Linked DNA regions of Mus musculus. The protein of the gene in region 1 interacts with the protein of each later gene in a pairwise test. Links are inferred from orthologs where the notes say so. Each region holds a gene or a part of one and is shown in the gene's direction. Other genes may lie near its edges.

Region 1 (6,473 bases):
GGGGAAGATTAAACTTCGTGCTTATATATTCCATACCTTCACAAACAGGAAGTAGGTTTCAAGTGTTTTAGTTCCACAATTCTGAGTAGATGTGTATTTAAAGAAAGGTTGTTGCATAACACAAAGCCTCTTCCTAAAATGCACCCAGTTTTGGAAAATACAAAGTGGGTGTGCTTTGAAAATTGTGTGAACAGAAGAGATCTTTAATTGATATTTGTGGGGTTTAGGGGAAATATTTTTGAGGCACTATAAAAAAAAATGTGTCATTGAAGGAGGCCGAAGGGCCCATGTAGGTTCCATTTCTAAGCCCCATTTCTCAAGTAAACACCGCACCTACTTTTTTTTCACAAAGTGCTTCACTGTTGTTTTGTTAGAGGAAATGGGTAATGTGTTCTAAATGAGTAAGTAAATTACCCAAAGTTCCGGCCAGTGGTGGCCCACGCCTTTAATCCCAGCACTTGGGAGGCAGAGGCAGTCGGATTTCTGAGTTCGAGGCCAGCCTGGTCTACAGAGTGAATTCCAGGACAGCTGGGGCTCCACAGAGAAACCCTGCCTCCCCCCCAAAAATGGCCCAAAGTTCACTGACAAACTCACATTTGTCTGATATTTAGCTATGTAACAGCACTTACGGTAGCAATAGAATTTGATTCTCACTCATCACAATGAAAATGGCTGGCGCTCTCTCTCTCCCTCTCTCCCCATTTCAAATCTGCAAGCACACCCCCTTAGAGATGGAGAGAATTTGATCCCATTGGAGAATCGAGCTAAAAATACCACCATGGAATTGTGGGAAGGATTAAATGCAATAATGCACAAAAGGCACATAGCAGAATGTGCCCTAAATGTCAGCCATTGTTATGGTATTATGTAATCTACAAAGTATGTTTGCTTACTCCGTGTGAAAGACTTTCAGTCTATCAAACATAATACATGTGAAATCAAACCTTGAAAATTAATTTTTTCCCAACAGTCAAGACATTTGCCAGCTGCAGAGATTAGCATTTCATGAAATCTTAGTCTTGTTCTGAATTTTTTTAATGGGAAGGAACAACTATCCTCAACTATCCTTTTTTTTCTGTAGTTTTAAAATGAACTCCACAAAACATGTTTTTAATATAGGGAATTATATGAAATTGTGGGGTGGGCAGCGAGGTTAAAGGCAGAAATAGCCCAATGGTGGCACATTCACTGACACAGCCTAAAAGATTAGCAAATTACCCAGCCAACACATACAATTAATACAATTAATATTTTTATAGTTAAAACAGAGTTACTAAAGAAATTGTTTGAAAAGAAAATTATGAAGACTGGAAAGACGGCTCAGTGCTTAAGAGCTTTGGCTAGTCTTCCAGAGAACCAGGGTTCAATTCCCAGCACTCACAAAGGCAGCTTGTGAGCTGATACTATCTGTATATTCAGTCCTAGGGAATCTGATGCTTTGTCCTGACCTCCAAAACAGGCACAAATGTGGTGCACAGACAAATGTAGAGATAAGACTCCCATGCACAGAACATAAATAATGTAGTTTAATTTTTTAAATTGTAAAACTGAAAATGGTTGCACTTGCATTTTTATTTTCAGCACATCCCCAGATATCCGCCATATAACAAGAAAATGATGCCACACTCCCAAGAATTAAGAATTACACCTTCCCAACCCTACCCAAATGTGTATACTTCTAGGTCTAAAGAAATGCGAAGGATGAAGTTACTGCCTTGGTGCGGTTCTCAAGGAGGGAGGATGCCAAAAAAATATTTTTTCACAAAGTGTGCTGAGAAACTCTGTAGCTGTTGGAGTCATCTCCTGTGCTCTTGCCAAATAACTGAAAGGGGATACACTGGATGTCTGTGAATGGGGTGTCACTTATGAGTGCTAGAAGCGGGTGGTACCTGGATGTGGACACCGGTGTCTGAGTGGTCCGCACTCCATGTCTCCACAGGAGCGCTTATGTGTGTTTCTTTCCTCCTGCTTCTGGGTGTTCCTGGGTTTGTTTACAGCCACCTCTCTGTTGGACCAGGAGACAGCTGTCATCTCCAGAATGAGCGGGCGCGGGTGTGTCTCCGTGGCTGTGGCTGTGGTTCGGCATAAGTCTGAGCATGTCCTGGTCGTCAGGGTGCGTTTGTGCCTGTGTGTGCGTGTCCGGGTGAGCTTGCTCTTTCTGTTCCTAAAAGAAAACGCACCCTGCGCTACTGGCGTCCAGAGACCTCTCAGCCCGCACAGGTGACCTGAACGGACAGGTAGCACCTCCAGACAGCGCCTGGTTGGCGGGTTGCACAGCAGCCCTAGATTTCTCTCTCTGGTGCCCCAGCTAGGGTAGCTGGAAGGGAGCGGTGGCCTGGCCTCCGGGGAGCCGCTGGGCCCCGCCCGGGCTAACCCCAGGAGGAGGCGGGCTAGGCTGGGAGGGTTGGCCCTTGGTGCCTCGCCCCTCCGGGCATCCGGCCGTGCCATTGGCCCAAAGTTGTTGCACGTCACTGGGCAATTCCCCTAAAGTCTGGTGCACATAACGGGCAGGGCGCACTGCAAGGCTGCTTCTCAGGCATTCAGGCTGCGGCTGCAGGCACCGCGAGCCCGGAGCACCCACGAGCTGAGTGTGCAGGACGCACCCCAGCACAGCCACCTACGGCCGCTGAATGAAGCTTCCAGGAGTCCGCCCCCGGCCGGCTGCGCCCCGTCGGAGGTGCACCCGCTGAGAGCGCCTGGGCACCGAAAGCCGGTGCGCTCACCTGCTAACCTGCCAGCCATGGGGCCACACGGGAACGACAGCGACTTCTTGCTGGCACCCAACGGAAGCCGAGCGCCAGACCACGACGTCACTCAGGAACGGGACGAAGCGTGGGTTGTGGGCATGGCCATCCTCATGTCGGTTATCGTCCTGGCCATCGTGTTTGGCAACGTGCTGGTCATCACAGCCATTGCCAAGTTCGAGCGACTACAAACCGTCACCAACTACTTCATAATCTCCTTGGCGTGTGCTGATCTAGTCATGGGCCTAGCGGTGGTGCCGTTTGGGGCCAGTCACATCCTTATGAAAATGTGGAATTTTGGCAACTTCTGGTGCGAGTTCTGGACTTCCATTGATGTGTTGTGCGTCACAGCCAGCATCGAGACCCTGTGCGTGATTGCAGTGGATCGCTATGTTGCTATCACATCGCCCTTCAAGTACCAGAGCCTGCTGACCAAGAATAAGGCCCGAGTGGTCATCCTGATGGTATGGATTGTATCTGGCCTTACCTCCTTTTTGCCTATCCAGATGCACTGGTACCGTGCCACCCACAAGAAAGCTATCGATTGTTACACCGAGGAGACTTGCTGTGACTTCTTCACGAACCAGGCCTACGCCATCGCGTCCTCGATTGTGTCTTTCTACGTGCCCCTGGTGGTGATGGTCTTTGTCTATTCCCGGGTCTTCCAGGTGGCCAAAAGGCAGCTGCAGAAGATAGACAAATCTGAAGGAAGATTCCACGCCCAAAACCTCAGCCAGGTGGAGCAGGATGGGCGGAGCGGCCACGGACTCCGAAGGTCCTCCAAGTTCTGCTTGAAAGAGCACAAAGCCCTCAAGACTTTAGGCATCATCATGGGCACATTCACCCTCTGCTGGCTGCCCTTCTTCATTGTCAATATCGTGCACGTTATCAGGGACAACCTCATCCCTAAGGAAGTTTACATCCTCCTTAACTGGTTGGGCTACGTCAACTCTGCCTTCAATCCTCTTATCTACTGTCGGAGTCCAGATTTCAGGATTGCCTTTCAAGAGCTTCTGTGCCTTCGCAGGTCTTCTTCGAAAACCTATGGGAACGGCTACTCTAGCAATAGCAACGGCAGAACGGACTACACAGGGGAGCCAAACACTTGTCAGCTGGGGCAGGAGAGAGAACAGGAACTGCTGTGTGAGGATCCCCCAGGCATGGAAGGCTTTGTGAACTGTCAAGGTACTGTGCCTAGCCTTAGCGTTGACTCCCAAGGAAGGAACTGTAGTACAAATGACTCGCCACTGTAATACAGGCTTTCTACTCTCTAAGACCCCTCCTTGACAGGACACTAACCAGACTATTTAACTTGAGTGTAATAACTTTAGAATAAAATTGTATAGAGATTTGCAGAAGGGGAGGCACATCCTTCTGCCTTTTTTTAAATTTTATTTTATTTTTTAAGCTGCAAACAAGAGAGAGAAACTGTATTTGAGTGCTTATTGTTTTCTTGTATAGTTCAGTTCCTCTTTGTATGGAACTTAAAGGTTTCTGTCTGAAGAGTGTTGGTTCTGGAGGACTGAGTCTGTCTGTCTGTCTGTCTGGATGATGTTTTCATGTATCTACCTCACTGGTCAAGTATTAAGAATGATATATATTGCTGCTGGAAATCCATATCTAAAGGAGAGAGTTTTCTTCCTGTACCCTTGGACTTGAAATATCCTGTGTCTTGGACCTTTCTGCTGTGACAATGGGCCCTTTCTCTCTCACTCCACTTATTTACTCAAATGGAGTGTTGCAGGCAGGGATTTGAGGGACAACATCAGTTGTTTTGTTTTTGTTTTTGTTTTTGTTTTTTTGTTTGTTTGGTTCGTTTTTGGTTTGTTGTTGTTTTTTGGGGTTTTGTTTTTGTTTTTGTTTTTTTGGGTTTTTTTTTTTTTTTTGCTGAGAAAAGTCTAAAGTTTACAGTAAATAAATTGTTTAACCATGACTTCATTGCACCCGTTTCTTCAAAACCTCTTGACTCTGGAGTGTCCTTGTCTCTCCCACTGGAAACCACAGGTAAACTATGTGTCGTGACCGATGAGTGGCTTAATGTGTAAGAGTACCAGAATGGCATGCACCGTGCCTAGCCCTTCCGTGTGTGTCTTCGGAGCTCCAGATGCAAACCTGTGCCTTCCCTAACTTCACTCGTGTCCCAAAGCAGTCCTGCCTGTTCACAGCATAACCCAGTATGTCCTACAGTTGCTCTTCTGTGCTGTCACTCCAGAAACCCTGACTCACGGAAACAGAGTTATGGGCATATGTTTTTGTCCCCATATGCTCCTGACACCCACCTTCCAGCCTTACTTGCTTAATAACTGTGTATATTTACATCACTGCCGTCTCTTACAGTAGTGCCCTTTGTACTGCATCAGGGCTTGGTGTGTTCAGGATGAGGAAGATGTTCTGTGTAATAGCTGTTCAAGCATCTAGAAATTCTGAGGGAAATCAAAGGCCTCGGTCAGAGAGAGAGAGAGAGCAAAGCTTTAAAAAACATAGCTGGTGAATGCTTCACGCCCTTCAGCCTCTCCTCGCTCCCGTCTGCTGTCCCGTGTCTTCTGTTCCCCAATTCTCTGCACTTCTGTGTAAACCAGGCTTCCCCATGTCTGGCATTCCCGTGCATTATATGATATTTGGCGGCAGCTCTGTACCCAGTAAATTCTGGTAGCACCCCCCCTCAAGTTTACAAATAATTGCCAAGAACAACTTCAGCCGCGTAGCACCCCCCCTCAAGTTTACAAATAATTGCCAAGAACAACTTCAGCCGCGACCTCTTACCCCTAAGGGTAAAGTACTGCTTAGTAGAAAGCCTGCTGTAGACTTTGCAAACCTAAATCATTACTACAAAGGTTCTATTTTTGACACCTAGGAGAGGGGTTTTTCCCAGTTTACTCAGTTGTGACAGCCCCTCAGCCCCTCCTCTTTCTTCTTCCTCATGGTGCCTTCTAAACTTGCCTTCCAGCTGCCCAGGTAGTTACCAGAAGAAGTTGAGGTTTTAGGCTCATGCACGGAGTCATTTGGGAGGGTTTATCAGTAGAGGTGAGGCCCGCAGGGCTCTTACTGCCTGTGTGCAGAGAGATTATAATACTGTTAAGAGGCACAGAGGGAAATCACAAAAGTAAACACATTTCTTCTTGCAGCCCCTTTCTATTTTTGCCTGTGTGTCTGAGCCAGAGCTCGGCCCAGGTTTCACGGAGCGGATCGTCCTCCTTGGCAACACTGGGCTGGAAAGGGTCAGCCTTCATCATTTCTTTCACTCGGAAAGCTGACTCCCCTTCTATGTCCCCTACTGTCCGAGGTCCCCAACACCAGCCTCCTCTGCTTCTCGAAAGCTCAGTAGTGGTGATCACTGATCTCTCAGAGGGAGGCAAAGACCATGCTTTGCAAAGTGCAATGTATGCTCTTCTGTGCTCTCACGTCTTGGTCAAGGTTTTCGTGTCGTAGTCTCCTCCTGCTCTGGGACTCACGTCCCGAGGTACAGCAAGCTTCTCCAGATGTCCTTCAAATCCCCCATACCCTTACAAGTTCTTGGATTTGGAGAGTCCATAATCTGAAGAGTCTGAAAGCCTGATACTGGAAAGGACCTGCACAAGGTAAGTGATGAAAGATGCCAGAGCAGGGGGTCAGGCAGCAGCCCAATCACCTGCCAGGAACTGCTATTGATGGCATCACCACTGACCTCTGCCTTCATCGGACCTGTGGAGCCTTTCCTTGCAGTTGAACCGTACTTCACTCATTAGGGCA
Region 2 (6,517 bases), on another chromosome or scaffold:
CCTTTGATCCTAGCACTCTGAAAACAGCGGCAGGTAAATCTCTGAGTTCAAGGCCAGCCTGGTCTACAGGGTGAGTTCCAGGACAGTCAACAACAACAACAATATGGTGGTTAATCTCAGTTGTCAATTTGATGAGATCTACTCATCTGAGAAGTGATCTACAATCATATCTTCTATTGTCTGCCTATGCAAGAATAGTTGTATTAGGTTGATTGAGGTGTGAAGACTCTTCCACCATGGATGGCATCATTCCCTGAACTTTATTTTTTAAGTAGCACTTGTATTAATTGTGTGTTTGTGTAACAGGGGCCTTCAAGCCATGGCATTTGTGTGGCTGTGTGGCTGTCAGAGACCAACTTGTGTGTGAGGGTGGGGGTGGGGAATAGGGATTGGGTCTCTCCTTCCACCGTGTAAATCCTGGGGATTGAACGCAAGCAGGTCATTAGAGTTGACATTAAGTGCATTTACCCACTAAGCTATACAGATTTCATGCTGTACTGACCATTGTCTTTCTCCTTGCTGTAGACAAAAGCTCATTATTTTATTGATATTGTTGTTGATTATATTTTGTTGGTGTGTGTGTGTGTTTGAGACAAAGTCTCAATTAGCCCAAACTAATTCAAACTTGATATGTGGCTGAGTATGACCTTGGCTTTTTGATCCCCCACTCACCACCACACCCAGTTTTGCCAGAGATCCAATATGAGGTTTTTGTTTTTATTTTTAATTTTATGTGCACTGGTGTTTCCCCTGCGTGTGTGTCTGGGTGAGGGTGTCAGATGTTGGAGTTACAGACAGCTGTGAGCTGTGGGTACTAGGAATTGAATCCGGCTCCTCTGGAAGAGTATTCAGTGCTCTTAATCACTGAGCCATCTCTCTAGCTTCCCACAAGGGTTTTATGATTGCTAGGCGAGCACCCTGACAACTAAACTACGACCCTTGCCCCCAAATTCCACTTTAGCTATAGACTGCCTTACCTCTGAACATGATCTTTAGCAAGGGTCAAATCTGAATAAATTCATGAGTCAAAAAGCTTACTGTTAAGAACTCGAGTACATTTAAGCTGACTGTGTTGCTTCAGGAGGCAGAGGCAGGGGGACCCCTGTGAGTTCCAGGCCACCCAGGGCTATAGAGTGAGACCTTGTCTCAAAGAATCATATTGGGGCTGAAGAGATGGCTCAGTGGTTAAGAGCACTTTTTGTTCTCACAGAGGATCTGGGTTCACTTTCTAGCACCCACGTGGAGGTTTATAACTGCCTGTAACTCTAGTTCCAGGGGATCTGATACCTCCATAGGCACTGTGCACACAAATGGTGATGACCATGCTTACATGCAGGCTAGCACTCAGACACATAAAGTGTAACACATTGTAACAATGAAAGAGCAGACTTAAAATGTGACAATAGAACGGGGGAGGGGTAAGCAGGTGTTAAACAAGGTCTATGTTTAAAAATTAAAGATGATCTGAGATTTTTTTTTCTCGTGTACATTGTTTTTCAAATGGAGAAAAGTGGAGAGAGAGGCATGAAGGTATTCCACTGAGGGGAAATGGGTAAGAGTAGAAGGAAGAGACCGAAGAGGAGAAAAACCTGTCTCTGTCAGTCACCCTTTTCACCCTCTGCCAAACCCAGTCAATGTTGCCCCAGCAACGAACCTCTAATATGGCCCCTCTGTTCCCCCTCCACTCCCTGTTCATCGTTTTCCCTTGACTAGCTTATCTTCTAGCGGTCTTGCTATGCTCTGTGTTACCGGAAAAGAGAAATCCCATCTCGACATTCCTCTGGTGAAAAACAAAATCCAATCAAATCATTGCTGGGCTGCGATTAAAGACAGAGCTTAGTGGTGAGTCCTTACCAAGCATGCGTGAGGCCTTAGCAGAAAATTACATTACATTAAATTAGATAAACACTACAGATCCTCAGGCTCTTTCTTTCACCTGCTATACAAAGCCTTCCGCAGTCTCTTCCTTCCACAGTCTGCAGCTCTCTGCCTCCTGCCATCTAACCCACAAGCACTCGTCTATAAAGAATGTCCTTTCCCCACTTCTGCCCATCCTTCAGAATGTCTGTCCTCAAATTTCCCATCCAATGGAGTGAGTGACTGCACTCCCTCCTCCCCCACGCTGGCCAAGCAAAGGCTTTTGGGCTTTTAGTTGCTTGATGTTCTGAGTCATACCTCTATTATAGCATTCCTGGGAGCATAATATAATACCTGTTCCTATGTCTCAAAGATCCCAGGAAAGTTAGGCCATGATAATTCATGTTTGGTCCCGATGGCTTGGCACAATGACTAACACGAAATGGAGAGGGAGGGAAGGATGAAGAAAATAAGAGATGGATGGAGTGGGTGAATGATAGCTAGGATAGACAGTCGAGATGACAAGGTCTGAAAAATGTTTTAATGTTTGACCCTGCACAAAAAAAAAAAAAAAAAAAAAAAAAAAAAAAAAAATCAAAGACGATACACCAGGGGGAGCTGAAGACCACAAGAACGCGGGAAAGGCAGGCCAAACGAGGCTGCAAGCTCAGGGATGAGCAGCGCGTCCCAAAGCAAGCATCATCACGCAACTGATACGGTGCATCCACGTGGGCAGCCCTTGGCCCTCAGAACTAGACAGCACTTGAGCTCATTCCCACCGCCCCCTCGATCCCGTCCCTCCTCCACTACAGTGAAAGCAAACAAAGGGGAGGTATCCCTGCAGGGCTACGGATACCAACGGCCAATCAGCTGCTTCTAATCTCCTCGAAGGCGGCCGCCTGCTTTTAAAGGGGCCCAATCTAGTTCTAAAAGCTTGAGGAGGGGCGGGGAGATCGGGAGTAGGGACGGCGCGGGGAGGCTTCCCCGAGGGAAACGGAGGGCGGAGGCGTGGGGCGGAGCCAGCTCGAGGAGGGCGGGCTGCGCCGCGGCGCGCGGGATCCGGCTGACGCAGCTGGCCCCGGCTCCCCGAGACCCAGACCGCGAGGGGAGGGGAAGGAGGAGAAAGAGTGAGGACGCGCGTGCGCAGTGGCGCGGGGAGGAGCGGGGACCTGGCAGCAGGCGAGGAGGCTGCGAGCGAGCCGCGAACCCGGCGGGCGGAGGGCGGCGAGCGCGCGCGCACCATGGGAGAAAAACCCGGGACCAGGTAAGGGAGGTGGGGCCGTGCCGCGGGGCATGGGCGGCTGCTCGTGGGGTGTGCCAGGTTGATCCACAGACAAGGACACCGGGGAAGAAACCCCGGGGCCGGACGCCTGGGTCCCTAGAGGGTAGCGGTCCGGGGCCGCAAGCCTTGGTCCTTGAGATATTGGAGTGGAGCGTGCGTGCTAGGGCTCCTGCAAAAAGCAAGACCTGATGGGGATCGGGAAACCCACGCCTGGGTTCTCGCAGAGATGTAGGAGTCGGACTACTGGGTTCTCTGTGCAGGCTGTGATGCAAGGGCGGAGGAAGGAGGAGCAGGTGGCCGGCCCCGAGGGGTTGTGTGCTGGGAGACTGGATGCTGGGAAGGGATTCCCCTAGACTCGTGCCCAACCAATGGAAAGCCTCCTGCCCAATACCCCACAGTCTGATTGCTCCCACCTGTCCCAAGGGCCCGATAGCTCTGCTACCAAACTTCTGCCTTCTAGGTTGCTAGGAGCAACAGCTTCTTCTTGAGAGAGAAGAGTGTGTAGGGACCCTCGCTGAAATTGGACTGTATTCCTCTCCTGGGGGTGGAGGGGAGAGGTAGTATCTCCCCTGGACACACATCCTCTCCCCGGATGTTCTCTGTGCAATCGAAGCTCCTTCCTTCCACTGATACCAGAGTTCTCTTTTTTGGTCTATAGCAAAATCCACTTCCTGTTGTGACCCAACACCCCCAAGAGGACATGGGGTGAATGCTTGAGTTCCAAAGGAGCAAGAGCTAAAGAATAGGTAGGGGCTATGTGCCTCAAGCCGGAGAGGACCAAGAATAAGGGCCTGATTATGAGCAGTGACTTCTGCAAAACATGGGATCAACCCCACCACTCCCACTGCCCTTAGAGTATGAGAAAGTAGGCATCTCAGCATTAAGAAGACCAATATCTGAGAGAGATGTCCACAGGGAAGACTGACCTCCTGGATTTGAGGTTAAACACCCCAGAGAAAGGGGAAGTCACTTACTTGGGGGGAGGCCCCCAAATTTCCGTTGTGTACTTCAGGGAGGGGGTAGATGGTCCAGAGAAAGACTGCTGACTTGGCATAATTCCCTACCATCTCATCAAATTCTGGGCCACAGGAAATGGAGAGAATGGCAGGAAGTGCTAAGAGGCATCTGCTTTAGCTGCACCCCCCCCCCCAAGCTGGGTACCTCCCTGGTCATTCCCTTACTCTGCCTCCTTGGCCAGCCTCAGTATGTGCCCACTGCCCGCTCCCTAACCAGGCAAGAGGTGGCTGGGGAAGATGTAGAGAGCAGATGCTCTGTAGTTACCCCAGGGCAATTGCCTGAGACACACTGGTTATGGCTGTCACAGGCTCTGTCAGGGCTCCCATTGGGGGAAAATACAGGGCAGGAAGAAACCAGAGGTAGAAGAGCTAGCCAGCCTAGGTGATGTCTGAGCTGTCAGCCCTAATTGGGACAGAAATTAGAGTGATTGTTCTAACTGCCACCATGTCCCAATGTGCCTTATTACTTGGGGATACGTAGGGGCGCCCTATGTATATGCCATATGACCCTAAGTATGACCCTGTGATGTATGGACAGCTTGGCTTTTGGGGAGGAAGAGACAAGTGGTTTTCTGAGCAGACATTTACATGGTGCTTGAAGGGAGGATGGAACACGGGGCATTATTCAGTGTGTTACCTGGGGTCCTTTCCCAGGAATTGCCCCTGGGGCAGCATGCCTCACAGGGGGCAGAATGACACTTGGAAGAATAAGCCACCGAGTAGCCAGAGCCCTGGGGTCACTAGACAGTTTCCTACTAATGCTCCCAGCAGCGGGTGGAGTCTAGGCTTAGGTTGTTGCAGTACCCGTGTAAAAAAATCCCCTTTGACTTGACAAACTGTGACAGGCAAGCGCCGCCACTATGTAGTGGTTGAGAACAGGGTCTTGAAGCCAAGGTACCTTCCTTAAGTTTATATCCGAGTCCCACCCTGTACATTCTCTGTGACCTTTGACAGAATTCTTGTTCGATGTAAAACAGGGATGTTTCAGTCTCAGCCATTGGGCTATAAGAGCAATAGATGCAGTTGGAACAGAGCAGCCCCCCTGTACCATGTTAGCCGCATCACCATCTTTGCCATAGGATGCTGCTGTGTTGGGACCACAGTGGATTTTTTTTTAAGCTGCGAGGCTGTTGGAGGTTCACGAAATAGTCAGACTTGGGCAAAAACCATCTGAGGGGCAGAGACTAGGCTCTGCTCCGGGAGTCACTGTATGGGTCCCTGAAGCTAGAGGTCAGTTGAAAAGATTATCTGAGTGTGATGGTTTGTGCCTTTCATCCTCGCACCAAGGAGGCAGGGACAAATGGATCTGAGTTGGGGCCAGCCTGGTCTATATGTCAAGATCCACGCTAGCCAGAGTTACATACGAAGGCCAAGGTCAAAAAAGGGGGGTGGGGAGGGGTGTTAGGTGTGACCCAGACAGTGTGTATCCATCCAGTTCGCTCTCAGTTTTGGAGAGGGTCCCCTGGGGAGGAGAGCCTGGGTAGTTCCTGGGGTAGCTAGTGGCCATTATTGTAAGAGGAGGAGTGAGTTATGTAGCATCGAACAGCAAAGGAGCAAAGGCTCGCTCGCCCTGACAGTTGGCTTCGAGGGGCTGCCATGTGGGAAATACTGGGACTTTATAAAAAAGCAGTGGGAAGGGTAGGGCAGGGATCCAGGCTGAATTCCCTTCTCAGGCTGGGGAGGGATAAGTCCTGGTGTGGTGGTCCTTGCCCAGCCTAAGGGAGGCAGTGGGGTCTTCCTTTCTGTTTTGTTAGGGTCTTCAAGAAGTCGAGCCCTAACTGCAAGGTGAGTCCCCCTCGATGCTTACCCTTTGATCCTCCCTGGGCCCGATCAAAGCCCTCGATGATCCCCAAGCCTTTGCTCCCCACTTCCTGTGACAGCTAAAAGCAGACTGACTTCCTTCCCTCCTTAAGCCCCTTGCCGCAGTCTGAAGAAGCCACAGGGCTGGGTGGGGTCTGGGTTCCTAAGCAAGCTTGTAACTCTCTTAGAAACCAACCCAGGGTGCCTGAGCTAGGAATAGTTAATAGTTTCCCAGGCTGTGGGCTGTTTATCTCAGAGCCCTTTGTGGGGACAGCTGCTACCTGCCTGGTCTGGCTGAGTGTTCCCTGAAGACATAGAAACACACATAAACACACACTTATGTGTACCGACCCTCCGTGGGTGGGCAGAGGTGTGGAAAGCAGGTAAAAGCTTAAACGAAAGTTTTACTAAGTTGTCTGGAAAACTCTACCAATCTCACCTTCCAGTCATACTGGGAGACAATCCTTCCTGATAACCCACCCAAGGGGAGCCCAGAACAGGACACCCACCTTTGAGAACTCTGGTGGCTTGCCACCATCCTCCCCAATTTCCCCTGTGACCC
Region 3 (6,501 bases), on another chromosome or scaffold:
TCAGATACACATAGGCAGCCCTTCAGTGTTTTCACAATCTACATAAGCATAAGCTGTCTACTTGGGAGCTGTGTTCTGCCACCTTAAAGATGCCAACTGGGGCTTCTAAGAAGGACTTAAAGGGATTTTTCCCCTATAGTTCAGCCTCTTTTCCTTGCTGAGTACCATTAAAATTAGTGGCTCATTTAAGTGATCCAGAGTAGGAAGAGTAGAAAATTGTTTACATATATAGCCCAGTCTTTAAGGTACTTTGAAAGAGAAAACAGCATCACAGACTTTATTTTGGTGTCTTGTTTTTCTGTTCCATAGTTAACCTAGCTCTTGTTTTGGATTTTTTTTAAGAAAGAAAATAATTAATTAAAATTATTATATATAATTAAGTACATATAATATATAAATATATAATATATAACTACATAATACAATTATATATGATAACAAAATTTGATTACAATAGAAGATTCTTCACATAACATTTCCATTCACCAACTTTTGAATAGACTACTAATCCAAATAGCATGTGTCCTTTCTATCCATATATCGACACAGCTCAAATGGCAGTGCAGTATAATGAACCCACTGTTTATTTTTACATTTGTGCTTTCAGGATCTGTCTGGTTGACATGACATACATACAACTAGTTTGTACTGTTTACATACACCAGAGTGGGAATTTTTATTCCTAACTTTGATGTCCTTTACATTATTTCCATGTGATTCTGGTTGCTCTTGCTCTTAGAAATAAGTTCAAAGATTCCTTGTAAGACACAAGGGCTTCACAAGGGTTATTCTTGATCTTATGTTTTGAACGCACAGGATATAAATCTGCAGTATTTTGAGGTATTGACAAATACCGTTGCAAATGGGATTTTCTTCTCTTTTCATTTTTTCTACTTTAAAAGAAGAGTAATTTTATCTGTTTCCATTTTCAGTCATCCAACAAGCTGGTGCTGAACACTACCTCCCTGTGACATGTCATTTGACACTTAACCTTTGGTGAAATCCCGTATTTTAATTTTTGTCTAACTTTTTCCAAAATAGTTTTTTGTTTTTTTTGACCCTTGTCAGTTTTGTTGTTATGTCTGGTGTCTGTGCATCTGCCCATTTGAACCTCAACACAAGAAAAAAAATTATAAAGATTTTCATAGTCTACTACCCTCTCATCTCTCTCTACCTTTTTCTTCTTGGGTCCCTTGTGTGTGCACAAATTTATAACCCGTGACACTCTTTTCATCTCCAGATATTTAAGTAAGTCTCACTGTAGAGTTCCTTTTGCTATGTAAACACATATTCACAAATGACAGTGCTTAGGACGTAGATAGTTTGAGGCTCTTTACTGCAATTGTATTTTTACTGTATTTTCTATTGTGCCCTTAGATAATTCTTCTGTTGTTGCCTTTGTCTCTATCTCACATGTTTATTTCTTCCCCTTTTAAAAATTTGGTCCGATATTTGTCTGTTTTCTCAGCTATACCAAGATTGCTACACGGGGTTGTGTGTATATAAAAATTGGAAAGGCATGGGCATCGTGATGGGAGTTCGGTCCTCCTCAGTTCTCAGTTCTGAACATATCAAGGTTGCTGCGTTCCTCCTGCTCCCTGTGATCAGCTCTAACTCCACCTCCTGGTAGGATGCTTTCAAAGTCAATGTTAAAGGTAACGGGACACCTGGATCCTTCTTACCTTACAATCTACTCTCTTACCGAGTGAATGAAACCAATGAAGTCTGTTTCTTTTCTGACTCTGCTCTGGGGAATCTAAGACTGTGAATGTGTCACTATTCCCTGGGGAGTCTGAAGCCTGAGCATGCGCACCAGTTGCTACCAATTGTTGCAGATCTCAAGAGGCTTGCCCTTTCTACCTTCTCCTCCAGGGATCCCCGCCTGCACCGGGGGTCCTGAGATCCAACCCCCTCCTTAGTGGTGACAGATTAGGTCGGGTTGGTTGGACTATCTAGGGCAATAACCCATGGAGTTCACGTCCTCCTTGCCTTTAGCCGTGCAGATTCGGCGCCTCCGCCCTTGTTCCCGGGTCGCTCCTAGCTTCCTATTGAAAGCTACTGCGAACGCCTTGAATGAAACGTGTGTGGGTTTAGTGTGTGGTAAAACCACCAGGGGATCCCGTCTCTCCACAAACCAGATGCTCTGCTAGAAGGAGGACGAGAGGGAGGCGACCTGGAGTGAAGCCCGCGCAGTGGCTGAGCCGCTGGGAGAGGCCGGGCCACCTCCCCTGTCCACCATGCACCGCTCCGCCCGCCAGCAGCGGTTCCAGGCACCACGCTCTCCACCCGGGTTGCGATGGTGGTGGCAGTGACAAGCTCCTGCAGCCCACAGCACTGTGCACAAAACAGCAGCGCCCTCTCCTCCCTCTCGCTCCACTCCACGCCTTCTCAGCCCGTGCACTAGGCGCAGCCGCTGGCGCCATCCACTTGTCAACTTTGAACTGAAGGAGCAGCAACTTTGACAGTGGCCGCGGGTTTCGAATCTGGCTTCTCCTTGGCAACAGTCCCTTTGAAAGTCGTCGGAGTTAAACGAAGCAAGAGTTTCCTCTGTGCTCCGGTGGTGCCTTGTTTGCAAGGGTCCCCACCCCCCACCCCCCCGCCAGCCGAGAGTGGGATTGTGACAGCCAGTCCCCTAGTGGAGCGGACTTGTTTTTCTTTTTCTCTAGAGACCTCTACTAGCGACTGGATAAAGCAGTATGGAAAGGATGTAAATAGCAGAGCAACTGTTACCAAGAAGACAGCCACCACCCAAAGGCTGGGAGGAGCGCGGGGCTTCCTCCAGGCTGCGCCCAGTCGCAACATTAGGGAACAATCAGGTGGTGTTCGCAACTTTTCAAGGTCAGCCTCTTGGATCTGTTATTTCCCTGGGAACCTTCGGGTGCACCGAGCTTGGATTAGATTTGGCTGGGAAATGCTCAGAACATGAAACGTGGAAGGATTGTAGGGATGTGTTGATGACACCGTCCTTCCCCAAGCGCCCTGTTCCCTCCCAGCAATCTTCTGCTCCCATCCTCTACCCAGCGGTGAGTATGTGACATGTGCCTAACTCTCTGCACCAAGTTTGGCAGCAGGTGTCGGTGCTAAGCTAGAGCCAGGCTAGTAGGTGCGCCCTCGCCGAGCCATGCCAGCCCGGGGCGCGCCTCTCTCGCGCACATCGCGGCTGCTGCTCCTTCTGCTGTTTAAGGTTTCTGTCTCTGCTGCCCTGAGCTTTGTCCCTGAGCCCAGGAATGGAACTTGTCTGGGGGAGAGCTGTTCCCCACTGATCCAACGCCGCAGCAGGGATGCCCGTGGACCTGGGAATTCGGCAAAAGACGCTCTGCGAGTCCATGTGCCCAGAGAGAAACTGGAAGCAGAGGTGAGAGGGGCGACCTCTTGGGACCTCCCACCACCCAGGGGCGGTGACACAGGTGTGATTGAAGAAGCGGCGGCTGCTGGGCCCTTGGGACCTCCAACCAAGCCACCAAGTGCCTGGAGATGGAAAAGTGCCCAGGGTAAAGAACCATCCGGGCATTTGAGGAGAAGGGACCCCACGGATCCCCAACTCTTCTTTCCGACATCGGAGGGGGGAGAGATGAGTTCCAAGCGCGATGGGATTCCCCAGAGCAGGCAGGAGCACAGTGTGAAAACGGAACCCAGAGATCTTTTTTACTGGCCACGAAGAACTGGACAACTCCAGGATTCCCAACACAGGCCTTCAGCAGTACACGAAGGAAGGACCCTTGCTCCTCCAGGCAGGGCACTACCGCAAAACGGGTCTGCAGATGACTGGGTTCCTGACCAAGGGGGTCCACGCCGTGGAAACACCACGCGGCGCGTGAGATTGAAGAACCCCTTCTACCCATTGACCCAAGAATCCTACGGAGCCTATGCGGTCATGTGCTTATCTGTGGTGATCTTTGGGACCGGCATTATTGGCAACTTGGCAGTGATGTGCATCGTGTGTCACAATTACTACATGAGGAGCATCTCCAATTCTCTCTTGGCCAACCTGGCTTTCTGGGACTTTCTCATCATCTTCTTCTGCCTCCCCCTGGTCATCTTCCATGAGTTGACTAAGAAGTGGCTTTTGGAAGATTTCTCCTGCAAGATCGTGCCCTATATCGAGGTAATGACCTCTAGCTACTGCCTTTTTCTGTTTCCGGAGAATAAGCACCTACCTGTGGGACTCTTTGCTTCTTTCTCTGAATCCCTTCTCTTTCCCCCAGTCACTTATGCAAGCACGTGTGTGTATGAAAGAAAGCAGCTTTGCTAAACCATCTTCAAACTCCATTGCTCCTAGCCTGGTGTGTGTGTGTGTGTGTGTGTGTGTGTGTGTGCGTGTGTGTGCGTGCGTGCGTGCGTGTGTGTGTGTGTGTGTGTGTGTGTGTGTGTGTGTGATAGTTCTATATGTACAGCTTTTCTCTGGATATGATATTTTTGACTTGGTATCCTGGGTTAAATAATGGCCAGCCCATGGTTGTCTTTATGGGAACGTAGTACTGGGGGTGGGGTGGGGGAGGGATCATTAATATTCATTTACTAAAGTTCTAGTATTTCATCGTGATTCCACCATGCCATCCCCAAGAGAGGCAATTGAGCTTTTTCTCATTTTTAACTACCAAAGCTGAGGTTATATTTTATGTATAAAAGAACATCAATTTTAGTTTTTGTAGTTGGCCTCATGATATATTAGGAACCTCCAAATTAGTTTAAATTGGTTAAGATATCTACCTTATTGTTTCCTCTACATTGTTAGGACTTCTTTGTGGATCCTTGTTAACTTTTAGAAACAGTTCAGTTTTCTGGATAAACTTAAACAAAAATAAGACTTAGTCCAGTCTCCTATAATCTAACATTTGTAGAGCATAGGACACAAATTTGCCACTGCTATGGCTGTGAAGAATAAACAATTTTAAAATGATTTATAGGTAACATAAGAACAATTCTGAAGTAAAAAAGGAGTTAGCTTCCAAACTTTGAGATGAAAATTGTTTGAACAAGACAAGGTTTTACTGCTTCATGCTAGAGCTACTGTACCCGTCGTTGCTCTAGCAGTAGGAATTTGCTCTGTAAATTGGCTTCTCTTTAAACACCAGCTCTTGGAACCCACCCAAGTGTTTGGCTGCCAGTTGTGGTTTTAGCCAGCTGGGCCTTGATTTTTCTCCATTCAGGCTGTCCATTTCATTTATAGAAACACAAGAAGGGAAACTGTAAATATTCCAGAGCCTCTGATCCTGTCTGGCACCAGGGCCAGTTGACACTGTGTTCAACATTGTCTCAGGCTTAAAATTCCAAGATAAGTAAACAGCAAACAGTGCCTACTGAGAAGGTCCAGAGGCAGAGAGTCAACAAGACCCTCTGTTATTCAGTTTGGGCTCAGATGTAGGACCATCCATGGCTACTAAATCAGCTGTTGCTACTTACCAGGATCCAGGGCCTCACTGTTGCCAAGCACGGAGAGACTCTGAAATGCTGCCATTTACTGGGGAGAGGACATAGTTGGATAGTATAAGAGACTAGGTGTCATGTTACATTTATCTTTTCAAAGGCAATGTTAAGTTTTCTGTGATTTTTTGTTGTAATAATGCAGAAGACTTGTGCCAGAAGGAGATTTAGAAAGTAAAGTGTAAAGTTCAAACAGGATTGGTAACCCACAAGCAGGAATTGTGTTGGCTTGCCTCACTGGGAACTACAGATTGGGGCAGGGGTTGCATTATACATTAGGTGGGAAGGCAATGAAAGAAGGTAGGGAAAAGGACCAGAGAAAGAAACAAATGGCCAAAGCAATTGATGGAGACCACAAGTAAAAAGAATTGTATCAAACGTAAGAAAGACTATTAAAACTTAGGTTAGTTTAATGAGACCTATCTTTTCTAAGTAATAGAAATGCATTTAAATTTCTTTTTAACTCTGAAGTGTTTATTTTGCTGTTAGTTTTGTGAAACCAGATGGAATGTAATGGAAGCTGGCCTCACACTCACTGTGTAGCTGAGGTTGACCTTGAACTCCCAATCCTCCTGCCTCCACTTCTAGAGTACGATAATTATAGTTTCTGTGTGTCCACTGTATCAGCCTGGGAGTTTACAAACTTATAATAACACTTTATATATATTTTGAAGTCAGTTTTTTTTCATAAAGACTTTTGTTAAAAACATTTTTTTCTTGTTAGTAAAACTCTGTCTTTTACTCTCTGTAGTTTTGCTTAGCTTTCTACAATTTTTATAACCTTTTCTGTTCTCCATCATTGAGATTTGATTTTACTTTTTCCTAGAGAAGAAAAAGCTTGCTTGAAAATATTAATTTAAAAACATGACTAGTCTTACACATTTTTGTATTTTTATACAGTACTTTTAGTTAAAATATATATGACAACCTATCACCGCATTTTCTTCCTCTGAATAAATTTTATAATACTTTAGCATGTTTTATAAAAATAATTATTGAACCATGATGTCAACTTCCTAATTTCCAATTTCTAAGAACAAGAGGAATAGTCCAACTCTCAAAAACACTGTTTCTGCT

The links.
Region 2: the proteins of Adrb2 (region 1) and Arrb2 interact in binary tests that used the Homo sapiens proteins (3 or more experiments, as listed by UniProt). The link is inferred for Mus musculus from reciprocal best matches to the Homo sapiens genes ADRB2 and ARRB2.
Region 3: the proteins of Adrb2 (region 1) and Gpr37 interact in a protein complementation assay, tested with the Homo sapiens proteins (2 studies listed by BioGRID and IntAct, with this or other methods). The link is inferred for Mus musculus from reciprocal best matches to the Homo sapiens genes ADRB2 and GPR37.

Annotation. Positions count from the first base shown.
Region 1 is NC_000084.6:62,176,020-62,182,492, reverse strand, and holds Adrb2 (beta-2 adrenergic receptor), read left to right. Parts: upstream 1-2,511; 5' UTR 2,512-2,740; coding exon 2,741-3,997; 3' UTR 3,998-4,780; downstream 4,781-6,473. Other genes in the region: Gm9949 (uncharacterized protein LOC225609), read right to left, coding at 1,890-2,448. UniProt on the Homo sapiens protein: Beta-adrenergic receptors mediate the catecholamine-induced activation of adenylate cyclase through the action of G proteins. The beta-2-adrenergic receptor binds epinephrine with an approximately 30-fold greater affinity than it does norepinephrine.
Region 2 is NC_000077.6:70,429,633-70,436,149, forward strand, and holds the start of Arrb2 (beta-arrestin-2), read left to right. Parts: upstream 1-2,947; 5' UTR 2,948-3,098; coding exon 3,099-3,121; intron 3,122-5,909; coding exon 5,910-5,940; intron 5,941-6,517. UniProt on the Homo sapiens protein: Functions in regulating agonist-mediated G-protein coupled receptor (GPCR) signaling by mediating both receptor desensitization and resensitization processes.
Region 3 is NC_000072.6:25,685,717-25,692,217, reverse strand, and holds the start of Gpr37 (prosaposin receptor GPR37 precursor), read left to right. Parts: upstream 1-2,237; 5' UTR 2,238-3,121; coding exon 3,122-4,105; intron 4,106-6,501.